4 linked regions of the Struthio camelus genome follow. The protein of the gene in region 3 purifies or fractionates together with the protein of the main gene of each other region. This does not show direct contact. Links are inferred from orthologs where the notes say so. Each region holds a gene or a part of one and is shown on either strand. Other genes may lie near its edges.

What was found.
Region 1: the proteins of SMNDC1 (region 3) and SF3B2 purify together in Homo sapiens (affinity purification with mass spectrometry; 3 studies listed by BioGRID and IntAct, with this or other methods). This does not show direct contact. The link is inferred for Struthio camelus from reciprocal best matches to the Homo sapiens genes SMNDC1 and SF3B2.
Region 2: the proteins of SMNDC1 (region 3) and SF3A2 purify together in Homo sapiens (affinity purification with mass spectrometry; 4 studies listed by BioGRID and IntAct, with this or other methods). This does not show direct contact. The link is inferred for Struthio camelus from reciprocal best matches to the Homo sapiens genes SMNDC1 and SF3A2.
Region 4: the proteins of SMNDC1 (region 3) and SF3B1 purify together in Homo sapiens (co-immunoprecipitation; 5 studies listed by BioGRID and IntAct, with this or other methods). This does not show direct contact. The link is inferred for Struthio camelus from reciprocal best matches to the Homo sapiens genes SMNDC1 and SF3B1.

The regions. Positions count from the first base shown.
Region 1 is NC_090976.1:1,018,035-1,025,399, reverse strand, and holds the start of SF3B2 (splicing factor 3B subunit 2), read right to left. Parts: upstream 3,018-7,365; 5' UTR 2,992-3,017; coding exon 2,850-2,991; intron 872-2,849; coding exon 825-871; intron 524-824; coding exon 446-523; intron 1-445. UniProt on the Homo sapiens protein: Component of the 17S U2 SnRNP complex of the spliceosome, a large ribonucleoprotein complex that removes introns from transcribed pre-mRNAs.
Region 2 is NC_090967.1:3,447,212-3,454,493, forward strand, and holds the start of SF3A2 (splicing factor 3A subunit 2), read left to right. Parts: upstream 1-4,274; 5' UTR 4,275-4,380; intron 4,381-4,389; exon of another isoform or gene 4,390-4,441; intron 4,442-4,495; exon of another isoform or gene 4,496-4,936; intron 4,937-5,171; 5' UTR 5,172-5,216; coding exon 5,217-5,342; intron 5,343-5,830; coding exon 5,831-5,902; intron 5,903-6,245; coding exon 6,246-6,292; intron 6,293-6,616; coding exon 6,617-6,726; intron 6,727-7,282. Other genes in the region: PLEKHJ1 (pleckstrin homology domain-containing family J member 1), read right to left, coding at 672-738, 2,747-2,814, 4,067-4,160. UniProt on the Homo sapiens protein: Component of the 17S U2 SnRNP complex of the spliceosome, a large ribonucleoprotein complex that removes introns from transcribed pre-mRNAs.
Region 3 is NC_090948.1:12,478,468-12,486,391, reverse strand, and holds the start of SMNDC1 (survival of motor neuron-related-splicing factor 30), read right to left. Parts: upstream 3,005-7,924; 5' UTR 2,905-3,004; intron 2,621-2,904; coding exon 2,501-2,620; intron 1-2,500. UniProt on the Homo sapiens protein: Involved in spliceosome assembly.
Region 4 is NC_090947.1:11,827,224-11,835,097, reverse strand, and holds the start of SF3B1 (splicing factor 3B subunit 1), read right to left. Parts: upstream 3,005-7,874; 5' UTR 2,896-3,004; coding exon 2,868-2,895; intron 1-2,867. UniProt on the Homo sapiens protein: Component of the 17S U2 SnRNP complex of the spliceosome, a large ribonucleoprotein complex that removes introns from transcribed pre-mRNAs.

The sequences.
Region 1 (7,365 bases), on a different chromosome or scaffold from region 3:
CTTCACCACCCAATGGGGCACCCCAGGGTCCTCCATGCTCCCCATGGTACCCATCGCCCCCCATGGGGCACCCCAGGGCCCTCCCCTGCCACCAGAGCACCCACCGTCACTCTGCCCCCCAATGAGGCACCCCAGAGCCCCCCCAACCCCCACAGCACTTGTCACTCCCCCAATGGGGCACCCCAGAGCCCCCTCTGCCACCTACAGCGCCCGCTGCCCCCAATGGGGCACCCCAGGGCCCTCCCGGCCCCCCACAGCCCCCCAGAGCCCCCCATGGGGCACCCCAGAGTCCCCCCTGCTCCCCATGGCACCTATCGCCCCCCATGGGGCACCCCAGAGCCCCCCCTGCTCCCCACAGCACCCACCGCCCCCCATGGGGCACCCCAGAGCCCCCCCTGCCCCCCACAGCACCCGCCACCCCCCACAGGGCACCCCAGGGCCCTACCTGCCCCGGCAGCGGGGGCTGCGCCGCCTTGTCGCCCTCCTCTGCCCGGAGCACAGGGCGGCTCAGCACGATGCCTGTCTGTGGGGTGCAAAATGGGGGGGGGGGGAACGTGGTGATGGGGTGTCCGATTTGGGGACCCTGCCTCGGGGGAGGGTGTAGGGACCCCCCCCCACCCTGAGGGGACACAGGGACTGCACTCCAGATGGTGGGAGGGGATGTGGAGCAGGGATCCCAGCTGGGGGGGGATATTGGAACATGGGGGACCCCCACCCGGGGGGACGCTGGGACACGGCAGCACCCACGTGGGGGACGAGGAGGGGCTGACCCCCCCCGAGGGTGCCCCGGCGCAGGGCCACCCGCGGGTGCCGGGGCGGCTCACCTGCAGGGTGTAGGTCTGCAGCCGCTCCACCAGCTCCTCCCGGCTGCCTGTGGGGCACCCGTCGGTCAGGGACCCCCAATACCCCCGGAGGGACCCCAATTCCCCCCCACCCCAAAACCTGCTCTCAAATGCCCCCCCCCACCCAAATCCCCCTGCCAGTGTCCCCAAATACCTCCATCCCTGTCCCCAAATGCCCTTCCGAGTCTCCCCCAAATACCCCCACGGCCTGTCCCCAACTCCCCTCGTCCCTGCCCCAAATACTCCTACAACTCCCCCCAAATACCCCCATGGCCTGTCCCCAACCCCCCCCCCCGTCCCTGTCCCCAAATACTCCTCCAACTCCCCCCAAATACCCCCATGGCCTGTCCCCAACCCTCCCCTCGTCCCTGCCCCAAATACTCCTACAACTCCCCCCAAATACCCCCACGGCCTGTCCCCAACTCCCCTCGTCCCTGCCCCAAATACTCCTACAACTCCCCCCAAATACCCCCACGGCCTGTCCCCAACCCTCCCCTCGTCCCTGCCCCAAATACTCCTACAACTCCCCCCAAATACCCCCACGGCCTGTCCCCAACCCTCCCCTCGTCCCTGTCCCCAAATACTCCTACAACTCCCCCCAAATACCCCCACGGCCTGCCCCCAACCCTCCCCTCGTCCCTGCCCCAAATACTCCTACAACTCCCCCCAAATACCCCACGGCCTGTCCCCAACCCCCCCCTTGTCCCTGTCCCCAAATACTCCTACAACTCCCCCCCAAAACCCCCACGGCCTGCCCCCAACCCTCCCCTCGTCCCTGTCCCAAATACTCCTCCAACTCCCCCCAAATACCCCCACGGCCTGTCCCCAACCCTCCCCTCGTCCCTGCCCCAAATACTCCTACAACTCCCCCCAAATACCCCCACGGCCTGTCCCCAACCCTCCCCTCGTCCCTGCCCCAAATACTCCTACAACTCCCCCCAAATACCCCACGGCCTGTCCCCAACTCCCCTCGTCCCTGCCCCAAATACTCCTACAACTCCCCCCAAATACCCCACGGCCTGTCCCCAACTCCCCTCGTCCCTGCCCCAAATACTCCTACAACTCCCCCCAAATACCCCCACGGCCTGTCCCCAACCCCCCCCCTTGTCCCTGCCCCAAATACTCCTACAACTCCCCCCAAATACCCCCATGGCCTGTCCCCAACCCTCCCCTCGTCCCTGCCCCAAATACTCCTCCAACTCCCCCCCAAAACCCCCACGGCCTGTCCCCAACCCCCCCCTTGTCCCTGCCCCAAATACTCCTACAACTCCCCCCAAATACCCCACGGCCTGTCCCCAACTCCCCTCGTCCCTGCCCCAAATACTCCTACAACTCCCCCCAAATACCCCCATCCCTGTCCCCAACCCTCCCCTCGTCCCTGCCCCAAATACTCCTACAACTCCCCCCAAACACCCCCATCCCTGTCCCCAAACACCCCCATCCCCATCCCTATCCCCCCCGCGGCCTGTCCCCAAATACTCTAAATCCTGCCCCCCCGAACCCCCCCCAGCCCCCAAACACCCCCATCCCCAACCCCCCCTCAAGGCCTGCCCCCACCAGCCCCCAAACGCCCCCCGGCCTGTCCCCAAATACTCTAAATCCTGCCCCCCCGACCCCCCCCAGCCCCCAAACACCCCCATCCCCAACCCCCCCTCAAGGCCTGCCCCCCCCAGCCCCCAAACGCCCCCCGGCCTGTCCCCAAATACTCTAAATCCTGCCCCCCCGACCCCCCCCCAGGCCCCAAACACCCCCATCCCTGTCCCCAAACACCCCCATCCCCAACCCCCCCTCAAGGCCTGCCCCCACCAGCCCCCAAACGCCCCCCGGCCTGTCCCCAAATACTCTAAATCCTGCCCCCCCGACCCCCCCCAGCCCCCAAACACCCCCATCCCCAACCCCCCCTCAAGGCCTGCCCCCCCCAGCCCCCAAACGCCCCCCCGGCCTGCCCCCAAATACCCTCAACTCTGACCCCCAGACCCCCCCGGCCCCCGCCCCGCCCCGGCGGACCCTGCGCGGGGGCGCCGATGTCGGCCAGCGTGGCCTGCAGCTCGGCGGGGGCCCAGGCGGCGTAGGGCGCCGGCGGCGGCGGTGGCGGCGGCAACTCCCCCGCGCCGGGGCCCGCGGCCGCCTCCGGCCGCTCCGTCGCCATCTTCCTTCCCGCGCCCGCCGCCCCCTCCCGCCGCGCACGCGCCAGGCGACCTGCCGACCTGGCGTCATGGCGTCATGGCGTCATGACGGCGGCGACCGCGCGCTGCCTGCTGGGAATTGTAGTCCCCGGCGCGGGAAGGCGGGTGGGACCCAGGCGGCCGAGCCGGCCCTGAGGTAACGGCCGGGCACCCGGGGGGGGGGGGGGCAGGACGCCTGGGCCCCGGGGGGAGGAGGGGTCCCCGGACGCCTGGGCCCGGGCACGATGACTCAGCACGCCGTGGGAACGCGTGTGCGGGGCAGTGCCGTGTTGGTGGGGTGTGCTGGGGGTGTGTGTGCGGGGGGCGGTGCCCTGTCGGTGGGGTGTGCTGGGGGTGTGTGTGGGGCGGTGCCCTGTCGGTGGGGTGTGCTGGGGGTGTGTGTGTGGGGCAGTGCCCTGTCGGTGGGGTGTGCTGGGGGTGTGTGCCGGGCGGTGCCCTGTCGGTGGGGTGTGCTGGGGGTGTGCGGGGTAGTGCCCTGTCGGTGGGGTGTGCTGGGGGTGTGTGTGTGGGGCGGTGCCCTGTCGGTGGGGTGTGCTGGGGGTGTGTGTGGGGCGGTGCCCTGTCGGTGGGGTGTGCTGGGGGTCTGTGTGTGCGGGGCGGTGCCCTGTCGGTGGGGTGTGCTGGGGGTGTGTGTGCGGGGCGGTGCCCTGTCGGTGGGGTGTGCTGGGGGTGTGTGTGGGGCGGTGCCCTGTCGGTGGGGTGTGCTGGGGGTGTGTGTGTGGGGCAGTGCCCTGTCGGTGGGGTGTGCTGGGGGTGTGTGTGTGGGGCGGTGCCCTGTCGGTGGGGTGTGCTGGGGGTGTGTGTGGGGCGGTGCCCTGTCGGTGGGGTGTGCTAGGGGTGTGTGTGCGGGGCGGTGCCCTGTCGGTGGGGTGTGCTGGGTGTGTGTGCGGGGCGGTGCCCTGTCGGTGGGGTGTGCTGGGGGTCTGTGTGTGCGGGGCGGTGCCCTGTCGGTGGGGTGTGCTGGGGGTCTGTGTGTGCGGGGCGGTGCCCTGTCGGTGGGGTGTGCTGGGGGTGTGTGTGCGGGGCGGTGCCCTGTCGGTGGGGTGTGCTGGGTGTGTGTGCGGGGCGGTGCCCTGTCGGTGGGGTGTGCTGGGGGTGTGTGTGCGGGGCGGTGCCCTGTCGGTGGGGTGTGCTGGGGGTGTGTGTGCTGGGCGGTGCCCTGTCGGTGGGGTGTGCTGGGGGTGTGTGTGCGGGGCGGTGCCCTGTCGGTGGGGTGTGCTGGGGGTGTGTGTGCGGGGCGGTGCCCTGTCGGTGGGGTGTGCTGGGGGTGTGTGCGGGGCGGTGCCCTGTCGGTGGGGTGTGCTGGGGGTGTGTGTGTGCGGGGCGGTGCCCTGTCGGTGGGGTGTGCTGGGGGTGTGTGCGGGGCGGTGCCCTGTCGGTGGGGTGTGCTGGGGGTGTGTGTGTGCGGGGCGGTGCCCTGTCGGTGGGGTGTGCTGGGGGTGTGTGCGGGGCGGTGCCCTGTCGGTGGGGTGTGCTGGGGGTGTGTGTGTGCGGGACGGTGCCCTGTCGGTGGGGTGTGCTGGGGGTGTGTGTGTGCGGGGCGGTGCCCTGTCGGTGGGGTGTGCTGGGGGTGTGTGTGGGGCGGTGCCCTGTCGGTGGGGTGTGCTGGGGGTGTGTGTGTGGGGCGGTGCCCTGTCGGTGGGGTGTGCTGGGGGTGTGTGTGGGGCGGTGCCCTGTCGGTGGGGTGTGCTGGGGGTCTGTGTGTGCGGGGCGGTGCCCTGTCGGTGGGGTGTGCTGGGGGTGTGTGTGCGGGGCGGTGCCCTGTCGGTGGGGTGTGCTGGGGGTGTGTGTGGGGCGGTGCCCTGTCGGTGGGGTGTGCTGGGGGTGTGTGTGTGGGGCAGTGCCCTGTCGGTGGGGTGTGCTGGGGGTGTGTGTGTGGGGCGGTGCCCTGTCGGTGGGGTGTGCTGGGGGTGTGTGTGGGGCGGTGCCCTGTCGGTGGGGTGTGCTAGGGGTGTGTGTGCGGGGCGGTGCCCTGTCGGTGGGGTGTGCTGGGTGTGTGTGCGGGGCGGTGCCCTGTCGGTGGGGTGTGCTGGGGGTCTGTGTGTGCGGGGCGGTGCCCTGTCGGTGGGGTGTGCTGGGGGTCTGTGTGTGCGGGGCGGTGCCCTGTCGGTGGGGTGTGCTGGGGGTGTGTGTGCGGGGCGGTGCCCTGTCGGTGGGGTGTGCTGGGTGTGTGTGCGGGGCGGTGCCCTGTCGGTGGGGTGTGCTGGGGGTGTGTGCTGGGCGGTGCCCTGTCGGTGGGGTGTGCTGGGGGTGTGTGTGTGCGGGGCGGTGCCCTGTCGGTGGGGTGTGCTGGGGGTGTGTGCGGGGCGGTGCCCTGTCGGTGGGGTGTGCTGGGGGGGTGTGCGGGGCGGTGCCCTGTCGGTGGGGTGTGCTGGGGGTGTGTGTGCGGGGCGGTGCCCTGTCGGTGGGGTGTGCTGGGGGTGTGTGTGCGGGGCGGTGCCCTGTCGGTGGGGTGTGCTGGGGGTGTGTGCGGGGCGGTGCCCTGTCGGTGGGGTGTGCTGGGGGTGTGTGTGCGGGGCGGTGCCCTGTCGGTGGGGTGTGCTGGGGGTGTGTGTGCGGGGCGGTGCCCTGTCGGTGGGGTGTGCTGGGGGTGTGTGTGGGGCGGTGCCCTGTCGGTGGGGTGTGCTGGGGGTGTGTGTGCGGGGCGGTGCCCTGTCGGTGGGGTGTGCTGGGGGTGTGTGCGGGGCGGTGCCCTGTCGGTGGGGTGTGCTGGGGGTGTGTGTGTGCGGGGCGGTGCCCTGTCGGTGGGGTGTGCTGGGGGTGTGTGCGGGGCGGTGCCCTGTCGGTGGGGTGTGCTGGGGGTGTGTGTGTGCGGGACGGTGCCCTGTCGGTGGGGTGTGCTGGGGGTGTGTGTGTGCGGGGCGGTGCCCTGTCGGTGGGGTGTGCTGGGGGTGTGTGTGGGGCGGTGCCCTGTCGGTGGGGTGTGCTGGGGGTGTGTGTGCGGGGCGGTGCCCTGTCGGTGGGGTGTGCTGGGGGGTGTGTGTGCGGGGCGGTGCCCTGTCGGTGGGGTGTGCTGGGGGTGTGTGCGGGGCGGTGCCCTGTCGGTGGGGTGTGCTGGGGGTGTGTGTGTGCGGGGCGGTGCCGTGTCGGTGGGGTGTGCTGGGTGTGTGTGTGCGGGGCGGTGCCCTGTTGGTGGGGTGTGCTGGGTGTGTATGGGGCAGTGCCCTGTCAGTGGGGTGTGCTGGGGGTGTGTGTGTGCGGGGCGGTGCCCTGTCGGTGGGGTGTGCTGGGGGTGTGTGTGTGCGGGGCGGTGCCCTGTCGGTGGGGTGTGCTGGGGGTGTGTGCGGGGCGGTGCCCTGTCGGTGGGGTGTGCTGGGGGTGTGTGCGGGGCGGTGCCCTGTCGGTGGGGTGTGCTGGGGGTGTGTGTGCGGGGCGGTGCCCTGTCGGTGGGGTGTGCTGGGGGTGTGTGCTGGGCGGTGCCCTGTCGGTGGGGTGTGCTGGGGGTCTGTGTGTGCCGGGCGGTGCCCTGTCGGTGGGGTGTGCTGGGGGTGTGCGGGGTAGTGCCCTGTCGGTGGGGTGTGCTGGGGGTGTGTGTGCGGGGCGATGCCCTGTCGGTGGGGTGTGCTGGGGGTGTGTGCGGGGCGGTGCCCTGTCGGTGGGGTGTGCTGGGTGTGTGTGTGCGGGGCGGTGCCCTGTCGGTGGGGTGTGCTGGGTGTGTGTGCTGGGCGGTGCCCTGTCGGTGGGGTGTGCTGGGGGTGTGTGTGCGGGGCGGTGCCCTGTCGGTGGGGTGTGCTGGGGGTGTGTGCGGGGCGGTGCCCTGTCGGTGGGGTGTGCTGGGGGTGTGTGTGTGCGGGGCGGTGCCCTGTCGGTGGGGTGTGCTGGGGGTGTGTGCGGGGCGGTGCCCTGTCGGTGGGGTGTGCTGGGGGTGTGTGTGTGCGGGACGGTGCCCTGTCGGTGGGGTGTGCTGGGGGTGTGTGTGTGCGGGGCGGTGCCCTGTCGGTGGGGTGTGCTGGGGGTGTGTGTGGGGCGGTGCCCTGTCGGTGGGGTGTGCTGGGGGTGTGTGTGTGGGGCGGTGCCCTGTCGGTGGGGTGTGCTGGGGGTGTGTGCGCGGGGCGGTGCCCTGTCGGTGGGGTGTGCTGGGGGTGTGTGTGTGGGGCGGTGCCCTGTCGGTGGGGTGTGCTGGGGGTGTGTGTGCGGGGCGGTGCCCTGTCGGTGGGGTGTGCTGGGGGTGTGTGTGTGCGGGGCGGTGCCCTGTCGGTGGGGTGTGCTGGGGGTGTGTGCTGGGCGGTGCCCTGTCGGTGGGGTGTGCTGGGGGTCTGTGTGTGCCGGGCGGTGCCCTGTCGGTGGGGTGTGCTGGGGGTGTGCGGGGTAGTGCCCTGTCGGTGGGGTGTGCTGGG
Region 2 (7,282 bases), on a different chromosome or scaffold from region 3:
TCTCCAGGATCCTTTGGAGACAGTGAGAACGTGGTCCCTCCCGGCTGGAAGAGAAGACAAGGCTCTGCACAGAAAAGCAGCTGTGCCTGACAGCCAGGCCAAAAGATATGGGGATGGCCTTGGAGAAACATCCTGTTATTTTTGCCACATACCTCTTGCACAATGATTAGTTGTTGGATGAAAGGCTGCTTACAAAGGACGACACACCATGAGCCAGCTGGAGTCATGGCTATCAACACAAGGACAAACAGTGTGGCGGGAGGACTGGTGCTAGATTAGTCTGACAGATGGTTTATCTGAGGCTCACTTTTTTTGATAAAAATGTAATAGCACAGAAGCAGCAATCTGTCAATACCAAACCCTCCTAGAGAGGGATTTCCACAAGCACTAAGCCATAGCCAGTGTGTTTTTACAGCTTCTTTCCTCACAGGCAGCTGTGCAAATCACACACACTGACGATTTCAGCCAGCAATGAAATACCACCGTCTCGGGAATGGCAACATCACAGTAACAACTGGCAGCTGACAAAGAGAGGGGCTGAGGAACACTAGGCCCAGTGTAACCAGAGAAACACAGGGAAAAGCGGGAACTAAGTAGCAAAACATTTTCTTTTATATAGTATTTTTAATTGCATAAGGGAAACACAAACGGCATCTATATGCAGAACTCACTGATTGAGAAGACGTTCTCCTCCTCTTTGGTGATTCTGCAGTGCTCCAGCAGCAGAGCTCCGATGGGCTAGAAAAAGACCAGGAGAGAGGGTTTAAACACATGTTGTCCAGCCAGTGCTACAGGCATGGATCACTAGGGGAGAGTGACCAGATTCATTTTAACCCAGGAGGGGTTATAGGGGAAACCTATCAGAGGAACTGTATTTCCAGGAGATCTTTGCATATTCTGCACTAACTGCAGTAAAAAACAGAAAATCAAAACCAAACAAGTTATGCCAGTGTAGCAAGTTCCTGACCTTCAGCTGATGCTGGAATAAACGTGCATACTCACAGCCTCATTCCTTTGCGGAAAAAAAAAGATTTGCTCAACAAACTGTGAAGACAGCTTGAAACATGCGAGATATACATGTATACATATGCTTTGCTCACATAGTTCTGAACCCACAGAATTTTGCTACTGACTTTTAAGTTTCAAAACTTGATGCGGCTTTTAAGGTAATTTAGTCTACAATTAAAGGAACGTTCAGTGTTCTTCTAAGCAACCGATTTGTGTCTGCTGACATGCTTCATTTTACTAGTCTTATTTTTAACTCTCTGTTTCTACTTCCTCAGATTCAGTCTGGGGGTTAGCATGCACTTCTGTGATGCACAGACAGTGACAGAGTTTACTCTCTAGCTCAACAGATCAAATTAAGATGAAATATTTCAGAGGGCACAGAGAAAGACTAACAAAATTCCACATTTAACTTTGTAAGGGCAGGCTCAAAGCTTTGCAAGAGGCTAAGAACAGTGTGTTGATGAACTAGAACAGTTCAGGATAAACAGACAAACGGCAGGTACTATTTGCCACCCAGTGCACGCTGAGCAAGGACATGAGAACCAAGGAGTGATAGAAGCCATAAACAAAAGCAAACCACAAGTGAATTCTTTTGTCCAACCTAAACAAAACGGAAGAGACAAATAAAGCAGCAAAGAAGATACCGAAAAATCTGTTTAAAATATGTATTTCTGGCATGACAGTTTTACTTTAGCACTAATCACCTGCCAAATTACTTTTGATCCATTCAATAACATCCTCTGCCTTCCATCAAAACCCACAAAAATGCTTAAAAATAATAATTGTCAGAACAGAAAACAGCAAAACTAGCTTTAGGTTGCAGTAAAGGAGACAGGCTGTAAGGAGTATCCTCCGACTCTCATAACAGAACGCTCACGTGGGAGTTACAGACGAATCTTTACATCTGTCTGCATGTCTACATACACACATACAAGAATGACTGCTCAGCTTTTGGCCATACCTAGAGTATTGTGATTGCAGCTTCAGTGGAAAAGTGATTAGTGACTGCAGTTCAGTAGGCAGGAGAAAAGAAATATCTTAAAATAAGAGCATAACCATTATCAGGGTTAAATTTTGTAATGGACACAGTCTAAAAATGCCACATACCTCTTGCCAGCATGCACACAGCGTGTTTCTTCACACACGCTAAAAAGATTTCTTTTATACTCATTTTTCAACTAGAGACTCTTTAGCAACAGTTATTAAGGAATTCACTTAAAAACCATAATATCTCAGCAGTGGCAAAGCCAGAAACTGAAGCCAGATGTCTTATCCCTCATTCTACTTTTCTAGACCTAAACAGGGCCTCCGAATGCCAAAAATAATAATATTAACAGAGCATAACCATGCAAGTTTCTCAGGAACAGTGAGCACTGTATGTAAGCAATATTCCTGGTGTAGAAGAGAAGAAACAATGCTAATTCTTTTCCCAGGAGAGCATAATATAAACTTCCGCTCACAGTTTAACACGAAAAGCTGCAGCCCTACAACTAAACATTACAGATTCCATCTTTTGCAGTTTTGGGCAATGGTTATGTTTAAAAGACTCATTCCAGATGCATGCAAACAGTATCTGGATGTGGTTAGATGGCAGTGATTTCTTCTCACCCATAGGAGCTTTTACTGTTTTGATAGAAGAGCAAATGTGGGCTCACTGTTCTGGCTAGGGCAGCCTGTTACTGTACCAATTTACAAAGTACATAAAGTCAATTCACAGAGAAAAAAGCAGATTCCATACCTCCGCTTCATCTGTCCGGAAGTAGAAGAGAAAGTTGACAACAAGCTTCACAAGGCGTTTCTTTAACACTGCAAAGAAAAAGAGCATTCAGGTGGCAAGTCTGTGGGATGAAGCGTGTGAGCCAGCTGGCAACGGAAAGGAAAAGGGAAGCACATTCCATCTTTGCTAGCACCCAGCAACACGCTGATTCAACCAAGTCTAGGGGGAAGCTCCATTTTAATTTAAACCTTTGCCGCAGGAGCATCCAATACTAAATCATGCTTGGCCCACTCAGGAAATGCACCGTCTCGATTTATCCCAGTGGGCTGCAAAAAGATGACAACAGAAGTGTCGCAGATTTCTCTAACACCTTCTGGCTGGACCGATCCCAAAGTACGGTGTCAGCTATATACGTGATACAGCCTCCTGCATGTGGCATCTCAAATCCAGGGAGAGACCCTGCCTGGAACTATCAGCACAAAAGTCACTTCTTGAGGATAAAGCCTGTCAGGTCCCTGCAGGTCCTCAGGAAGACAAAAAGCTCTGGGCAACAGCATTGATTTAACATTTAACAGCAAGGAATATTGCAGCAGTATTTCAGCAAAGAGCCTCTTATTTTGACAGACACACTCAAAGCGTTGGGAGAGAGAAAGGAACGTATCTACTTTCCACCCTGATGCCTCCTGCTTCCCTTAAATCCCTCCACATCTCTCCATCTGCATATCCCTCCAGTTCTCCTATCACCCAGTCCCACTTTCACGGCCTCTGCCAGCCACACTCTGCCCCAGCACGTCCAGTCCAGCCTCCTCGTCCTGCCACAGTACCTCCACCCCAGCCCGAGCCCCTCCAGTCCAGCACCCAGTCCTGCCCCGATGCTGCACCCCCAGTCCAAGCCCAAGATCTTCATTCCTGTTCCCCAGCCTTATACCCCCGCTCTACCTCCAGTCCAGCCCCCCAGTACTCCCAGTCTGGCCCTTGCCCTTTCCCCCCAGTACTCCCAGTCTGGCCCTTGTCCCTTCTCCCCAGCACTCCCAGTCCGGCCCTTGTCCCTTCCCCACCAGCACTCCCAGTGCGGCCCTTGTCCCTTCCCCACCAGCACTCCCAGTGCGGCCCTTGTCCCTTCCCCCCAGCACTCCCAGTGCGGCCCTTGCCCCTTCCCCCCAGTACTCCCAGTGCGGCCCTTGCCCCTTCCCCCCAGCACTCCCAGTGCGGCCCTTGCCCCTTCCCCCCAGTACTCCCAGTGCGGCCCTTGTCCCTTCCCCCCAGTACTCCCAGTGCGGCCCTTGCCCCTTCCCCCAGTCCTCCCCGGCCCGCTGTCCCCGCCCGCCGGGCCCCCCTCACCGCTCCCCTTCTTGGGCACCCGCATCAGGATCTCGGCCGCCTTCTCGGCGGGCTGCCGGGCCAGCGAGAGCAGCTCCCGCTCGTTGTAGCGCATGGCGAGGCCCCGCCGCCCTCGGCCGCCGCCGCCGGGCGGCCCCGGCTCCCCTCGGCCCCGGCCCCGGCCCGGAACCGCTCCCGCCCGGAACCGCTCCCGCCCGGAACCGCTCCCGCCCGGCCCGGAACCGCTCGCGCCGCGCCGGAAGTCGCGCGCCGCGGGAAGAGGGGGGGGGCGGTGCGCGTGCGCGTGCGCGGAGCAGGGCGCGGGGCGCGGGCCGGTACGGGCCGGGCCGCGGGGGGGGGGGGGGTGCTCGGAGGGAGGGGTGGCCCGTCCTGGGGGTCAGACCCGTGCTGAGGGGCTGGGGGGGGGGGGAAAGGGGGACTTTGAGGGCTGCTCGGGGGGTGGGGGATTCGCGTGTGGAGCTGTGACCTTTGCTGCGGGGCCGGGGCGAGCGCGAGGGGCCTGTGACCCCTGCTCAGGGCGCGGGGGGGGGGGGGCGGCTCTGGGGCCTTCCTGGGGCTGCTGAGGCCGGGGCCTTGCTGAGGGGTTGGGGCCGGCGGGTGGCCCTGGCCTCCGCCGAGGGTTTGGGGGCTCAGCGGAGGAGGCTCTGCGGCTGTGCTGGTGCGTGTGTGGCGGGGGCGTGGGGCAACTCAGCCTTGGACCCTTGATGGGGCTCTGGGGCTGTTCGTTATCGAGATGGAGGGATTGGGGGCACCTAGTGGGGCTCGTGTGTTGCTAGGGGAGCTGTAGGGCCTTGCTGGAGCCCAGCTGAATGCTTGGGGGAGGAATCCGTCTCTCCTTTTTGCTGAAGAAGGCGTTGAGGAGGTTGGAAGGTCTCTGGGCGGGTTATTTAGGGTTTAGATCGTTTTGGTTCTACTCAACACGCAGCTTGTTGAGTCAGCGCCCCAAGACCTACTGACTTTGAAATTGTGTTCTGTAGCGAGCTCTTAGCGAACGCTTTTACTGTGCCCATCTCCTTTTCTTACTGGTGGGTCTAAATAGGAGAATGACGTCTAGGTTAGGAAAGGCATTAATTATCACCCATGTTGCTTTCCTTCATTTTTCCAGACTTTTTCGTTCTTCTGAACTAGTTGAAGTAGAGAAGTCCCCATCATGGATTTTCAGCATCGTCCTGGAGGTAAAACTGGAAGCGGAGGCGTAGCCTCCGCTTCAGAAAGTAACCGAGACCGCAGGGAGAGACTTCGGCAGCTAGCTTTGGAAACGATTGACATCAACAAGGTGAGCATTGACCAGTCTGTGTATTTAGGAAGGAAAGGACATGTCACTTCAGTCCTACAAACTGTGGCTAAGTTCAGAGCTCTGCTGCCTGGATGAAACAGTTTGGAAGATGAGAGATTTGGTGGAGAGTTGTAGATTTGAATGAAATACTTCTGTTTCTTTTAATGCAGGAGAAACATTTGTGAAAGGGCTGAACAGAGAGAGGCCAAAACTTGTGCATTCAAATAGCTGCCATTGCGTTATTCTTGGGCTTCTCAGGACTGGTTCATATTTTGCTGTTTCTTCACAGCATTTGGGTCTGCTGTTACCGCTTAACAAAATTAGTGTTGTTTGTCTCTGCTTTTATATTCCTAAAATAATGTTATGCTAATAATTGAAACCCAAGAACTCAGTTCGTCCAGGGCAGGAAAAAATCTGCATTATGTGTTTTGATTACTCTATTGTTTTGCCATGAATTTTGCTTGTGACTTTAAAAATTCTCTTCCTAGGACCCTTATTTTATGAAAAATCACTTGGGTTCTTATGAATGCAAGCTTTGCCTAACGCTACACAACAATGAGGTGAGTCTATCTTAATCTCCATGCAAAGAAATATTTTGGAATAATATTAACTTCAAATGCAACAATCTGAGGCATATGTAATGACTGATTACTGAGGAGATGGTGAGTGAGGAGTGGTTTGTGTGTGTTAAAGCACGACAGTTCGTGACAGCTCAGCAGTTGTGAGCAATCTGCAATTTTTGAGTAAGATTCCTCTCTGGTAAAGGGGTTAAAATATCCTTGTGGTTTAGAGCGTTTTTTACCTGTCAACATGTAACATAGCTTCTCGTCTATGACAATTATCTTCCAGTTTAAAAACAGTCCTGTCTTCATTTAACTTTCTTCTATCTTGCTTTCATTTCAGGGAAGTTACTTAGCGCATACCCAGGGGAAAAAGCATCAGACCAATTTGTAAGTCATTCTCCACTGTAGCTTTATTCTCCATTACTTAGGCACTCCAGAAGTATGATTGCGTTCATCTATAAATCTTGAATTATGTAGCGGGACACTGTGCTTGAATATCCTTTCACTTTTGAAGTGAACAGCCTGGCACTGGTGAGCAGGTATGGACTAGATCTGCTCCAAACAATGGTGCCAACAAGCTTCGTTTCAAGCTGAAGTTCAAAGCCGGTTGTGGAATTTCTGAAGGAAGGGGGAGAAAGAGCTTTAAAAGCAAACTGCGTAAGTCTGTTTATATCAGGAGTAGGTCTAAGCACCCCTCCCGCATGATTTCAGGGCCCGTCGAGCTGCCAAGGAAGCTAAGGAAGCTCCTGCCCAGCCTGCACCAGAAAAAGTCAAAGTGGAAGTGAAGAAATTTGTGAAAATTGGACGACCAGGTTATAAAGGTATGTCGGGGTGTCTGTCGTGGCATATACTTAATGCTTGGTGAGCTTGCTTGAAGTGCTGTGCTGTGTGTATGAATTATTAATTAGTCTTTTTAGCAGATCTGGCCATGAATAAGATATGGACTTATCTCCTGATGTCCTTGATTGTTTAAATTACCCATGGAACATCTCTTTAGAGCTGACAGTTGAGTGAGGATCTTTTTAATAAGAGATTGCTGTGTCTCAGTCTTTCAGCTCTTATTATAACAGTGAGACGGAAGATGATGACATTGCTTCAGTCTCTCCTCCCCTTTTTATTGTGCTGTACCATCTTTCAGTGATGCTCACGAATCACTCATTGGGTGTATAGCTCAATTTTTTCCCCTCAGCTCCCCATTGTTTTGCTTTAGCCTTCAGTCTGTCTCCCATCTTTGTTTGCAATGCACAGTGTGTCAGTGTCTTTGTCCCACAGCAGCTGAATTTCAGTAGTGACCCATAGTAGCTTTGGTTAAAGACAGTGTAGCATTTGGTAAATGAAAAAAATCTCACAATGTTTTGTTGCATGGAGCTTTGTGTA
Region 3 (7,924 bases):
CATAATAATATTCTGCAAATCCAAGGGGCATCACAGTTTGAAATAGGCATCTAACTCAGCAGGTCAAATACAGCAAACCAGACAACAGCTACCTGAAAGAGAGTGTTTCAGTTATGCAGGCTACCATTGTAATATGAAACTTATTGTTGACTTATTCTTGCCTCCTTCATAAATGGTTTATTACAGAATTCAACATGAATAGTTTCAGACAAGTCTGCCAGGAGTTCTTCGGCTTTGATAAAGTCACTTAAGCAGCAAACTAGAAACAGCAAACTTCTGGTAAAAATCTTCATTTGATATCCACATATCATAATGCTAAGCACATATAAAAAGACAGAAACATTAATCTTATGGCAATTCACAAGATAATTCTAAAGAAGTCTTTAGGGGAAGCTGAGTGGCTTAGTGAAAGGAAATTTCTGAACAAGAGTTAGGCTACCAAGAAAATTCAATACAGCCAACCGAGTTATACAGTATGACTTGCTGCCACATCCCCTGTGACATGGAAGTGCAACCCACAGAGAACAGCAGTTTGAGTTTGCCAAATTTTTTCCTTGCCAACTGGACTTTTCTCGCTCAGACAGAGCTGTGCATTCTGGAATGCAATACCCACAATATCATCTCCAGTTAAAGAAGATGACAGCTAAGATCAACTCTGGTTCACACAAAAGTTAAGTTTGGCCCTGGGCTGCATGGACACTATCCTAGAAGTGTTTCAGCGAAACAAAAGAAGAAAAGCTAAGTATTCGGAAACATTTCTTGTAATGCTTATTTTGATCCTGTTACTCAGGAATAAGCTGAGTATACTAAATGCACCTCTAGTGCATCATTTCTGACACCTGCATAGTGCATCACTTATTTCTGATTAGAAAAAAAAAGTTTCAGTTACATAGTAACGTTCTTTTTGAGCAGACAAAAAGCTATGTAACTGGGAGGCTAAAGACTTAGAAACATTTTTACAATAGGTTGGTTGGCATACATTAACTTTGCAAAACATTTTCTATGTCATTTTCAAGGTGGAACATACAGATATAGCAAACCTTTTGGGGACGAAAGTGTAAACATCTTCCCCATTCTGCGCAGAGAGCTTTTATAAAAAAGTTTGCAAGTTGTCCTTTCACATCAATGATCTCTGTATATCAAAGCCGAGATCGTGCTGGTATCGGAAATGTGATCCCATATGGGTTTTGCTGTGTATTTTAAAAATATAAAAATATACACATGCTTTTAACAGTGTACAGCGAAGTACATTAGATGATCTACAAGGTGCCCTATGGGCACAAAGCCTTTACAATTTAAAAGGAATTCTAAAGATGACTGATTTGAAGCACTTGTATTTTGGTTGAAGTATCATTTCTATTGCTGTTATTTCCATTCTGAATAGTGGTTACGGAATTTTGTACTGGGCAGTTTTATATATATTTTTTAATTCTGATACCTAAAGCAACCCACAATAGAAAAGCAGCAGCATTTTTGCACTGACATGCCAAATTTGTACTGTACTGCTGTTTTCTTATATGCCAATGTGTCTAGTATACACATAAGAATATAAAAGACTACATATCACCTTATAATTAGCCTGGCAGTCTTCCTATCACTGAACAATATCCTAAGGACCAGAAATGAGTTTTACTTCTTGACAATGCAGTAAGTTCGAATGGTTAGGAGCTGCAGATACCAAATGAAGGACAAATCTGATTCTCCCTTCTCATATAAAAATCTTAACACAATCAAGGCTTAGATATACAAGGAATACAGAATTACACTCCAGAGCTTGTATAATTGTAAACGCATGTAACAAATAAACAGATTCCGGATCAAATGAATTTGACAACTCAAGAATAAGTAGAAAGGTAAAATGTTAAGCCCAACCATTAGGCTTCAACCTAGTAGAAATAACAAGAATAACAACATTGTTTAATCACTGCATAATTTTATTTGAACATTTTATCCCTCATCAATATCTAAAATTTAGTTTTCCTTATTTTTGATTTATCGCAGTTCTGATACTATCTCAGCCAAAGGTTAGCAGTTAAAGCGGAGAGAGATCATTCTAAGGAATGTTTGGAAAAAAAAAAAATAAAGAATGAGAGAGAAAGAGACAGCACTGGCATATCTTTCATCGCTCTCTCACTCCCTGGAAGCTAAAAAACACAATTGTTTCCACCAACTTTTTTCTTGTCCTACTGACTTCTAGGCAGATTTTCAGCTTTAGTGATGTTCTAAAGAGAAAAGTTATTAGCTGTATACAACCTTTGCTAAAAGTTTTAAGCAGAAGGGTTTGCTACAAATGATAGTACATCTTTTTGAGTATCCGGGGAGACAAGATTTAAAATAGGCCAAACTTTGTTTTTTAACAACCATACCACAACGCTAGCAAATTATATGAAAAGAAAGTAATAATCCCATCAGGTATTTATTTTTATTGCAGTGCGAGCATCTAGGAAAACAATCCCTAAAGACCTAGAAGTTTCAGCTACTCATGCCCTTAAAGTCTCACCTGTAAGTCTTTCTTCAGTTTTAGCAGGTCTTCATTTTCGGCATTCCCAGATAAGGCAGCCTCCACTTGCTGAAGCTGAGCTTTGTAGCTCGCTAACTGCTTAGCGAGGTCTTCCGACATCTGCAAGAAACACGCATCGCGAACAGGTTTACCCTTTCCTAACCCACGGTCCGGCAGTGCCAGGGAAACGGCGCCGAGCGGACGCAGAAAGCATTGGAAACGCAACTCGCCGAGTTTGGATAACGCGCGGTTCAACCGCCGCAGCCCCCGCGCCGAGGCTGCCCCGCCGCAGGCCGCGGCGCCCCGGGGCCGCGAACAAAGGGGGCGGCGGAGGGCCCGGGCCGGGCGGCGGCTCCCGCCCGGCGGCAGCGGCGGGAGGGGAGGGAAAGGGGGGGGGGTCTCACCTCGGCGGGGCCGGGGCGGGGGGCGCCGCTCTCGGTCCCGTCGGGCCGCGGCCGCTTCCGTCTCGCCTGGCCTCGCCGCGTCGCCTGGGCCGCAGGGAGGGGGGGGCGGGGGGAGGGGCGAGGCGCTCCGGCGGGCGCCGACGCTCGCGAGAGCGGCCACGGGTCACGTGCCGCCGCCCCGCGCCGTTGGCCAGCGGAGCGCCTCGCTGCGTCACGCGCCTCGGTCACGTGAGGGGGGGCGGGAGGTTGCAGAGGGGGGGCATCTCGCCACCGCGTGAAGAAACGAGAGCGGGGCGGGGCCAGCGCGCAGGCGCGCCACGGTTCATCCGGGCACCTGCTTCGCCGCGGCGCAGGCGCAGTGACGCGCGGCGGGGATGGAGGGAGCCGTTGGGCCCGGCCTGGAGGGGCGCAGCGAAGGGCGCCGTTGGCCCGGGCCCGGGCCCGGCCCGGCCCGGCTCAGCCCGGCCTGGCCCGGCCCGGCAGGCGGCGGCGGTGGTGGTCCCGGTCCCTGTAGTGCCTGCCCCGCGGGGCCGCGCCCTGTTACTCGGGAGCGGCCGGACACCGGCTGAGCGTTGTTAAACCGCCGCCCGGGCGAGGGGGGGGGAAATAGGCGGGGTGTATTGCGCATGCGCGCTGCTAGCGCCTAGCGGGTGCGGGCTGAGGCCGGAGGGCGGCCCAGGGAGCGGGGCCGGGGCCGGGGTCGGGGCCCGGGCCCGGGCCCGGGCTGGGCTGGGCGCCTCGGCCTTCAAGGCCCCAGCCCGTCGCCGGGGGTCGGCACCTGGGGCCCGTGAGCGCCGCTGGGGCCTGTGAGCGGGACCTTGAGGGTTGGGGCCCGCTCCGAGGCGGCGCTGGGAGAGCCGGAAGGAGGCTTTCTGCAGCTTGGGGGGCCTGTGCTTGGCTCTCGGTTGTGCTGTTCCTGTGTAGCCAGGTTTTTCCCTAACAACGCCCCTACCGCATTCAAATCACGTGGAAAAGAAGGTCAGCAACATACATGTCCTCAGACAGAGCCGTGGCCCTCCCCGTGCTCTTTTGCTGTCTTTGTATTGTTGCAGCTGCAGTTCCTTGGCACAAGGCGTGTAATTTTCTTGGCTCCCTGTTACACACTGTAGGTGCAGCAGGAATTTTAAATGGATAAATGTCAGCTGAAAGTATGAATTTCATGAAAATCTTTTTCTTCAGGACAAGGCTCAGCTGTTTGTTCATGAACGAGTGACCTCAAATCTCAGGTCTGACCACTAGCTACTATAAGAGACAGCCTGGTATTTGAGGTTGCGTGCGCGTGATAGATATTCTGTTTTGCATCTTTATTTTAGACAGCATCAAACACATACTTTCAAGATACTTAACTGATAATTAAAGCCATGCAGAATTCAGTGCTAAACAGTCTAGAATAGGGAATCAGAGGGAATACCATATACTGTTGCTCTTTGGAAGGAGTCTGTCCCAACTTGTCCTTAATAATATGCGTAATCTGAAAGTTACTGTAGTGTATAAAAGATGCCAAAATATACTCACAGCTGCTTTTCATGTTCTCGAAGGAAGATGCTGAGATGTGCTGGGACACTGGCTCCATCAAAGGATTAAGTGAAATGCTACTACTACTATGTTGTCAAGCAGTGTACTGTACAAGCTTTCTAAAGTTTTTACAGTAAAGTATTCTTTAATCCAGTGTGAGAAGAAGCGAAGACTGAGAAATACCAGGTTAGAATGAAGCCTGCGTATTTTTAAGAGCAAGGGTGATCTTTCAAAGTATTACGGCATTTTCTCCATTTTAATGGCCATCTTAGTATTCAAAGTGGTTATTTGTCCTAAAAGAGTTGTGCTTTAACTACAGCATCTCTTAGACTAGAAGCTGAAATTAAATACGGGAAGTCTTACGGCTGACGTGAACGTTTTTCAGAGTAACGACTGCAGTCTTAAGTGAGCTCATCAGAAAATCCTTGTCAATTATGTATTTATTTTGAATAATAATGCCCAAATGAGGTTAGGAATTCGTTTCATTGGGCATTTAGGACTAGATTGGCTGGCTTTTCATCTGGTAATTGTAGATAGTCTTGCAATAGGTATTTTGCTTAACAAAGTATCCCTTCTGCTCACTGTAACTAAGAAAATGCTAAGAATAGAAGAGTATAAATACGGGAAAAGAGTCTAATTGGCCTTACAGCAGGAGAGGAAAGGGGAGATAAAACTCAGTGACCTCTTCAAGCCTGCTCCAGGAAAAAAAAATTCTTGATGGAAATCTGGTGACTAATTCAATTTTGAGCCTGTGAGCCAGACAAATTAAGCATGCGCCCCAAAATTTTCTTGGTGTTACCAGGAGGATTAGTGTCTCCTGCCAACATCCTGTCCTACGGTATGCAGTGCTTCACAGGAGGGTGGCTTGGATGCTGTTTGGGTATGCTAAGGGGGGAAATCTGTCTTCTGCGTTCTATGATGCTCGCTTTAGGTCCTCAGAGGATATCCTGACAGAATATGAAAGAGGTTTCTGTACTGTGGTGATAATTAAAATACAGAATTTATTGTATGCTCTTTGTAGATAAGACAAAGCCTAAGAGAAACAACAAAGTTAAAGTACAGTCTTTAATATTCGGGAAATATATATAAAAGCATTTGCTGATAAGACTTTGTGAACGATTTAGTAATTGTTGAAAGGTATGCGCGAGTTTGTTGATACAGAGCAATCTTAGTGACTTTTTGAGCACACCTGTCAGTTAAAATGCACATTAATACAACTGAATGCAACTTTACATCTATGAACAAGAAATATGTAGGCCATATCTTCAGGAATGAAGTGACGGAAGAGGACTGAGGAGCCATGTAATGTGCAAATATCTCCAAAGGCAACTAAGTAGGAAAAGAAGAAAATGTCCGTGGTTGTATAAGCAGAGGAGCAAGAGTAATGAGATTATTTTACTTCTATAAAGGGCGTGAGTGAGAATAAATACTGAAATACGGTATATGGTTCTAGAGTCTGGAGTTTTTTTGCAGTCTGCAGACTTCTAAAAAGGGCCACCAGCATTGTTCGGTGGCTAGAGAAAATGTCTCTCAGTGGAAGACTAAAAGTACCGAATCTGTTTAGCTGGTAATAGGACATTGAGAGGTGACTTGATTATAACACTGAAGTACTTTGAGAGGAAAATAGTGTGAAGTGCTGAAGACATGAAAGCATAACAAGGTCCAGTGACTGAAAGCTAAAGCTGTACAGAATAATTTTAGAAAATGGAAGAAATAAGGACAATTAGACCTATTTTGGAACTAATTGCTAAGGGAAGAAAGGTAAGGCAGAGGGGATGTTTTGTTTTGTTTTGCTTTGCTTGATTTCTTCAAGTCAGGATAATGCCTTTCTAGAAGCTACTTCAACACGTGTTATAATTTGAGCACATGCTATTACATCTATGAAGGCTAGGCAGATCTTGAAACCTCTGATCTTTTAACTCTTCCAAACTGGAATTGTATTCTTAAAGCTGGATTTAGCTTCACCCAGAAACACAGATATTTTTTCTGTGCTTGCCAGTAACAGAGCTTCTGTAATAATATTGATGAAAACCCTAAGCAGGACTTAACTGTACCGTGTTATAGAATCCAAATTATAAACAATAGGTTGTAGAAGAACCTTCACAAAATGGTCTATGCTTGGAGGGATAGCTGCATAATTGCATATTGGCACTATGTAAAACAGTGTGTATCCAGCTGTTGTCAAGAGTTTGTTCCTTCTGCGTTTGTTATGAGATCAAAGCAAGTTCAGGCATGTCCTTGCTATGTTTGGAAGTTTCTAACTGCATCCAGTATTTTCATCTATATATGGGCAACAGAGTAGCTACCAGAAAAAATGTATCAGTTCATAAATCCCTACTTTTTATGAGGTGTTTGTACTTTGTACTGCAGTATTACAGTGTACGTGTAGAGATAAGCCATATTCATACAGAGTCTAAAGATGCACTTCAGTTATAGTGTTACATACAAAGTAAACTAATCTAATACTATGTTACTGGGATTTTGATACAGCCTTTTGTCATATTTGTTGCATAGGATTTTGGTGTCGTTTATTGTAAAATTAAGACATGTAAATTTAAGACTATTCTTCATCACAAATGCCATAGAGATGGTTCCTTTAGTAAACAGCAGAAAGAAAAAGGAACTTAATTAGTTCTTGTCTTAGCCAAACCTACTTGCTGTTAACATTGAGGCTTTCAGCTAGGTTTCCTAATAGGAAGCTGCTGGATAAATCTTCCAGTACTTTAGGAACAGATAGGAAAATTGCTATAACTAGAGACTTCCTTGCAATGCTGGTGCTGTCTATTAGGCAGCAGTTAGCGTAGTGGTAGCGTAGATACTCTGTAAAGAATGGCATCAGACAGTTTGGGGGGATTTTACTGAGAAGATAATGTTTTTATTAACCAGCTGATGTATAGTTGGACATGCTTTTGGGCTTATAACAAAGGGCCTGTCTTCTATACATGCTAATTTATAGCTGGAAGAGACATTGCCGCTTCTTGCAACTGTGGTTCCATTGTCCAGTAGGTGGTAGTGGTGCTGCATAAAATGTCTATATTGTTGGATGTATTTAAATAGCAACACAATAAATGATTATTTTGCAAGAGCAGAATTATGTCTCTTCTTACAACCAGAGGCATTATTTTTATAGCTAGCGCTAATAGGAACATACACTTGAAAATATTTCATAAGATAAGTGGTTTCTGTCTTTTAAAACGTGTATGAACTATGTCAAATAAGTGCAGTTAAATCATCGCTATTCTGCAGTCCTTAAAGTTACACTCTAAAGCAGTTCAGGGTCAGATGGAAGGCGAGTGAAATCTGGCTGCTCCATAGCAGATAATGCTGTAAAGACAATTGTGTCCAAATAGTCTAATTTTCCTGGTTTTGAACTTCCTCTGCATGGATAGACTGTTGTGGTCAACACAGGACCTAATAACTAAAAAAAATTGGCTTTTACAAACAAAGCAGTCCAGCCTCATAATGGAAATTGCAATCCAAATCTAGGCCAAAATGGAGATACTAG
Region 4 (7,874 bases), on a different chromosome or scaffold from region 3:
AAAACCTGCCAGCTTATTCTAAACCACAAAAAGAGTCGGCATGGAATCAGTAGGGTTAGCAAACCCCCACTTATGGCCATGATCATTTTCAACCAAGGCAATGAAGTCCGTAAGTGCTAGACTTACAGTCTAAATGAAGCACTTCTTAAAGAGAACATCCATTTGATGAGCTGCACCCTCCCTTAACCAGCAGGTTTAAAAGGTCTGCAGCCAGACACAACTCGATTGCAAGTTTCCAAAGTACCACATACTTGGCAGGAAAAGACTTTAGTTTGAGATTAAAGAGATGTTTACCTTCCTTGATCTAGCCAGCATTTTCTAGAAAAATCTAACACTCTATTTAAGAAAGCATTTAAACATAAAACAGATGAAGAATGAGAGTAATCTCGATAGCTTAGGAATGTGATTTTGTAAAGCGAAGTACTTGTCTGATGATTTACTGAACCAGGGCCTAAACACAGAAAGTTACTTCGATCAAACAGCAGTAGAGACCACAAAACACAGCACAACATCCCACTGATCATCCCCTTTCTGTATTTTACCCCATTCAGTAACTTTAACATATTTTGGTATTTTTGAAAGAGTACTTTTAACATGCACAATTGATTTGGAAAATACAGTGAATACATAACATGAAAGTGAACACATATGAATTGAAAGTCACTGAAAACCTAGTTCACAGTCAGATCATGATAGCCCTTCTCAAAATACATACTCCACTATTATAAGATTAGTTCCATCTACAACGTTTGGAAAGGAAAACGTTACTCGTCATTAAAAAAAGAAAGAAGAATCATTCCCTGTATTGAAGTAGTATTTTAAGTATTTTAGAGTGGAAGTAGTTTCTATGTTTTCCAATTTACTAATTATATTTTTGCATTCTTAGCTTGCCCTGTGCAATCCTAATCACTTTAGGATTCTCCTCCGTGTTAGGACTAAATCTTTATTATGTTTGGAGGTTTGCTTCTTTTAACCTTTTTTCTTATTTAACAAGGCACTGTCAATTAAAAACCTATTTTCAGTAGCATTTCAAAACTCAAGCACTTAAGATACTTTATAAGTTCCTATTTTATAACCTTTTTATAACTTTGAAACTTTAATTTAACTGAGTATTTCCCTGTAGATCATGCAAGTGAAATAATCCCAAACTGTGTGAGATCTTTTCCAAGTTGTGTCTTGAACACATCAAATCAGCAAGTATTTAAAAGCAGTACAAAGATGTGAAACATCTTAAGAGAATTTAGTAACAGATAACTCATTCAATTTAGGAGATAAGTCAGGAATAAAAAAAAAAAAAAAACATACAACTCAAAAGAAAAAAAAAATCAAGTCATTCAGCCAGTATGTCTATGTAGGGCAAGATAACATTACATGATGACTGCCAATTGTACATAACAATTTATTTACATACCAAAAAACCCTTTAAAGCCTGCTTCAAAGCTAATCTGTTAATACTCATAACTGGAAGCATGACAACACTTCCGTTAAATTCAATGGACCATGACTTGCTTTAGTGTATAAGAAAAATAAGAAAAAACATCATATTGCTATTTTATTATTAAAATATCTTTGACTAGTGAGAGAGACAGAGCACTGTGATGTGTAACACCCAATTGGGTAATATCCAATACAAACCTTATACATGCCATAGCATATAACCAGAAGATAAATAAATTCAGTAACTCTATAAAAAACATTATAGAATGCTAAAATATAATCTCAAATTATTTGGGGGGGGGGGGGGGAGAAGTGAAGAAAATTATTTAAGCTTCCCCTTCTTACATAAGCTCAGACCAGATCCTGCAGTCCACGTCAACCTGGAGCTGCCTCTAAATTAGGAATTTTTTTCAGTGCAAAACTTACTTCCCTGAGAGACAGCCTGCCTACCTCACTTGGTACAACCATTGTCCAGAAGTACTTTTTGATTAGTGAATCCAGTATGTAAATTAATACAAAGCACAGCAGTTCATCTATCACACGCAGAAACATGAGTAAAAACACAAAAACAGAAAACATTTGCAGGAAAGCATTAAGCAGTACAATTCTAAAAACAACACCATTTGCTTTAAGATACTTAAGAGCTAAACAAACCCCTGACATTGACAAAAGAGATAGCTTTTATTCATGCTGTACAGAGCCATGTAACACCTCAGAGAGCAACAACATACTGCCTGTAAAGACCCTCACTCACAAACTGCTCAGAGATCAGTTTTCCCATGTAAACCCCCAGTCGACAGGAAGCCTCCGTGCTGAAACGGCATTTTAAAAGCCTGAGACCTCACGCTGCTTTTTCCCCTCCTTCGGGGCATTTTTCTCAACAGCGCCGTGCCGACACGACGCCTAGCAACAACTCAGGCCATCAGCATCACAGCTCACCCTGCGCCCGCGGCCTCCGCTTTCTAGCGGACACAGGCCCAAGGGCTCACTTAAACAAAATAAGCGTGCGTTATTGACGCGCGTCACGTCAAACCGAGGCGGGCGGAAAGCGCCATTCCGAGCGGGCGCCACGCAGGGGGCAAGGCCGCGGCGGCGGAGCGGGGCCAGGGCCGGGCCCGGCGCGGCCCACGGGCGACCGGGGCCGCGCTCACGTCGCCGCCGCGCCGCGGCGGCCTCTCGGGGTCAACAAAGCCGGAACTGAGCGGCGCCCCGGCCCCGCGCCAGCCGGCGGCCCGGGCATGGCGGTGACACCGCCGGAGACGCCATTACACAAGGCCCAGCCCGCCCGGGGCGAGCCCGCCCGGCCCCGGCCCCCGGCCGCGCAGCCGGGCCTGACGCGGCCCAGGAGTCGGGGAGAAGCGGAATCGGAGGGCCGGGGCAGGACACGCGGGTACCAGCAGCGCCGCCGCGGCTCTATAGGGGCTTTTTACCTTCGTGGGTCTTGGCGATCTTCGCCATTTTGTCCAGAGCGAACAACGCCGAGGCGGAACTGGCTCGGCCCAGCCACTTCCGCTACAGAGGGGAGGGGGAGCGGGGCCTCAACGCGCAAGCGCCAGCTGGGGGGCGGGGCACGGGTTGAGCGCGGCGCGGGGCCCCGCGCAAGCGCAGTGAAGGCCGAGAGGCGGTGCCATTCTGCCGGCCGGGCAGCCCCGCGAGCCAGCGCCGGAGCCCCGCCCACGCCGTGATGGACGGCGCGGTCAGCGAATGGCAGGGCGGCTGAGCGGTGCGGAGGCGGCCGTTGGGAGGGGCGCGCCGTGGAGGAGACCGTTGGGAGGGGCGCGCGCGGGGGCGGCCGTTGGGAGGGGCGCGCGCGGAGGGGGGCGCTGAGGCGGGCTGAGGCGTGTGGCGCAGCAGGGCTGCGGGCAGGGCCCAAACGCAGGGCGAGGGCAGGGAGCGGTGCTTTCCAGGCCAGTTGATAGGGGACAGTGTCTTCTGCTGGCCTTGGCACGGCAGTAAGTAGCTGCTGTGTTATCCTGAAGTACAAGGGCTCCAGTGTTTCTCGTTTGTCTTCAGCCAAAGACAAATGAGTGGCGCTCTTTCAGTATCTGCCTGCGAGATGCCTTCTTCTCGTTTGAGACACCGAAAGACGATGACGCTTCCACTGCACTGCACGGATAGTCAAAATACAATCAAATAAGTCTCTGCTTCCTGAAAAATCGCTTCTCACTGATGCTGCTCCCTGCTGAGGGTTGGTTCTGGTGTGGAGATTGGCAACTTTGCTACGTTTTGCCAAATTGCGTGACCTTTCTTTGCTCTTACCAGGCAAACTGGGCCGATAACAAAGGACAAAGCAACAGATACAAAAACAGGGCATAAATTTGTATATTTGCCACAAGACGGGTGAAAAATCGCCCTTAGAATAGTTACCGATGTTTTTCTCTGTCTAATGGGGACAAAAGCACTCTAGGCAGATCAATTCTACTGAATATTTTAGTAAGACCTTTGAAAAGGGAATTGAAGATACGTTTCTAGAATTGGCAGATGACACCAAACTGGCCAAAGTTACTAGTAGCTGCAAGATGAGATTCAAAATTATCTTGATCCCTAAAAGAAATCATTTGAGATCAAGAAGGTGGACTTTAATGAAGACGAGCATAACGTAGTACATATTGGAAGTTGAAAACAAGTATACACTTTCAAAATAGCCAAAATAATGAGAAAATGATCTGATGTGGATAGCAAATCAAAGCTAAATATGTATCAGCAACATCATGCTGCTGCAGAAGAAAATCCAATTCTGGGATAGAGTAACAGTGGTATTGTATATAAAACCTGGAAAGCAATCATTTCACTTCACTTGGCACAGTCAAAGCCACTGATGGAGTACATCGTGGTGCAGTTCATTCTAGGACTCTGCAATTTAACAAAGACGTGGACAAGCTGGACATAGTCCAGACCAGGGCAGAGGAATGATCAGAGGGTTATGAAACGTGCCCTGGGTAGGAATGGTGACAGAAACTAATTGTTTGGCTGTTCTGCAATAACTGCTCTTGTGCAGCTTCAGCATTTCATTTTGGAAACTCTTACCTTTTCTAGCAGTTTTTCTTTTAATGTGATATATCCATATTTCAATACTATCGCTACTGCACTTCATATCTGAATAGGATTGATTCTGTCCACATCCAAAGCCCTTGGAACTCTCCCTTATATCAAGTGTTGCAAATGAGCTAACTCGTCATTGTCTTATTTTTTAGCAGTAGTAGGCAAAAATCTAAGCAAAACAGCAAGGCTAACCACACAACCTAAGTTCAAAGTTCAGATACAGGATTGCTTAATCTTGCAACACATTAATGACGTTTCATAGCACTCAGTGTAATATGTAATCTTATGTAGTATATTTACTTGTATTTATGGTTTTATTGTACAACTGCTAAATTACTAAGATAGTCAAGCCTTTGCAACAAGCAATGTGAAACAATTTCTGTTGAGTGAGTTGAACGAATTTCTGATAAGGTAAAATGTAGAAATTATTTGCAAAAAGGGAGATAAGTACATGATGGCAAAACCATCACACTCTCTGCCTATAAATCATTCCCATTATGAAGGCTGATTGTTCACATTAGGACTCCTGGAGGATAGTCTTAAAGAAGATAAAGCCAAGGTTGTATGTTTGTGGGAATATCTGTGTTTGATCTGTCCATCTGTCATCTACCTCTTTTTGCTTTGTGTTGCTTAGCTCACGTAAGTTTGCTGAACAGTTCCTTGCTTTTATTTTTTCACATAATTAAATGTATTCAAATGTTCTTAAGTGAACGAGACTGTCATTTGAAGATACTGAGAGTCTTCTCTCTCTTCTCTTAGTATTATTAAGCTCACATTCTGCATTTCTAGAAAGATGTACTTGCACATACTTAGCGGCCACAAAAGGAGATATGTACTGAACTGCCTAGAGATAGATGAGGGTAAGATTGAGGCAGACAGTAATTCCCTACTGCAGGAATTTAATGCATGTAACTATTTTAAGTAACTGCGTCACATGCTCGGGTTCACTATGAATATCAATTTGCAGTAACTTTCTCTTGTTTCCTCAGCCTGACTTCCAGCTCCTGTGAGGCTGAACGGTTATGGACAGCAATGCTGTGCTCCTTCTGCTGTTATGCATCACTAAGCTCAGCAGTGGTCAACCCAAGGAACTCTTTTACGTAGTAATTTGAGGATATGCTATTTCCCCCACAAAAGATGGAGTTCTCTCAAGGTGCTGTGAGAGCCGACAGGAATTGTGTTGTGCTGAAGCAGGATATACTGTGAAGTGCAGTGACAAAACTGCTTTCTGCTTCTTTGTGTCTTTTATCTTTTCTCACAAATTCTGTACGCTGTCGAGGCTCTTTAATTTGTGTCAGGATTCAGGGCTTCGATAGGCATACACAAATTTCTTGCCTCCTGAACAACATCCCTAACACGCAGCTTCCACAGGGTATGGACAGGATGGTACTTAGTGGTTTACCAGTCCTGTTTTGCCTATCAAAGTTCCCTTCCCCTGCACGCACATGCACATACACTGCAGGGAGACTCCTCTATGGATTGGGAATAGACTGGATTTAAGAACCCCAAAGCTTCGCAGATTTAGAGTAAATCAGACCTAAATTACAGACCTGCCATGTCTTGCTTTATGGAATAGATTCAGGTCCAGTTTCTTTGGCCAGCTGAAGCCATCATTAGCTGGCACTGTGGCTGAAAGAAGTATCCAGCCACATTAGCCTGTCCTTGATTTACCCCTTCCGAGGGGCCAGCAGAAGTTTCTGGCACTGATTCACTTAATGAAGCCATGCTCCTGGCTACACTCTCCTGTTGATTTACCCCAAAATAACTTTTTATTTATATTCAATTTTTCCGCACACCTAATGGTATAAAATAATGCACCACAAGCTAACACTATGCAAATAGCAACTGCAGTGCCGGGGGGGGGGGGGGGGGTTGAGGCTGGGCCAGAGCCCCCTTCTGACCTGAGGTCAGTCCTCTCAGCTGTTGGCCGGAAAATTTGGACCTGGGTGCCGGGGCTTGGCAGCAGTGGCAGTGTCCTTACAGCAGGGTCAGGCCAGGGGTGCGGGTGGCCCTGGGCTGTCAGGCCCTGGGAGGGCATGTCACCTTCTACCTGCTTTATCTATTTGTGCCTTTTCCAGTATTGCTGCACCCAAACAGCTCAGTTATAAATGTCGTTGATCCCGCTTGGCAATGGGACTACTGCTATTTTTCTCCCTTTGCACATGTGGAAAACCAAGGCAGAGAGTAAACGGGCATCCCTAAAAGGGGTGAGGAGCCATAATCCACGCACTGCTCTGCAGCAAAACATCTCGGGGCATGAACTGGGCACACCAGGAATTCAGGAAAGCTGGGCAGAGATTCACCAGCCCCATAACAGGATTCAGGCTATCCAGTATAAAGACACAGAGCTCTCTGTGATAGCTGGTAGGATTAAGTGGGCGTCTGAGGATCCTTTTGTAGATTGAGGGTATGCCTAATTCTTGCTATGCCAGAAACTAGTTCACTTGTGATATATGAAATACAAGAAAGCTCTCCTAATTTTATATTATGGCTCCTGATAATGTACCAGAGTGTGAAATAGTAAATCTGCCCTTAATTCTTAGCTGTGGCATCAACTTCTGTTGTTTGCAGATCATGTAACCAGTAATTTACCCATTTCTCCTGCTTGTAGTTCGTCTTTCTCTGCCTAATGATGTGGTTGTGAGACTTTACAGAAGTTTATAGGGTATTTTGAGATACTTCAATTGCAGATACTATTCAAAATCTTTTTGTAAGTAAGAAGACAATGGTTTTATTATTGCTTCACCCTGCATATCTTTGGCTGCCAAAGGGACACATTAAACTAGTTGCCTTGCTCACACATCTGTAGAAGCAGAGCTGAACGTAGCAAGTTAAAAATAGCACGTTTTTTTAACAATGATAATTCAGATCTATTTGCCTCATTTAGGATCGACTCTGTCTCTCTGTCTATTTTTTAAATGGTCATCCTCGAGATGAGATCCTAACAATGAAATGTTTTACAAATCGTTTAAAGTTTATAATCTGAGTTTAAACGGAACCATTTCTTTTCTAATGCAAATGTATGCTCTATATTTTATATCTCTAGCTATATCTATCTATATGTAAATGACTGGTCATATATACTGCTGATTTTACAAAAAACACCAAGCACTAAAGAAAATCAACCAGAATCATGAAATTTCTTCCTAGTATGGGTCATAAATCATGGCCCTTTCAGTTACCGGATATGTCTTCTATCTCACCGGTATTAATTTGGGCCAGTGTTCCTGTGAAAGTTAATAAATGCAAATCTCTCTTCACAAACGGCTGATATCAAGCAAGGTATAAGGACTGCATTTCTGAGCCTGCCAAGACAAAAAACCTCTGCCTGCCCTCAGACATCCATCATAATGAACCTCTCGACACTTTATCCTTCAGCTATTCTAAACCCTAAA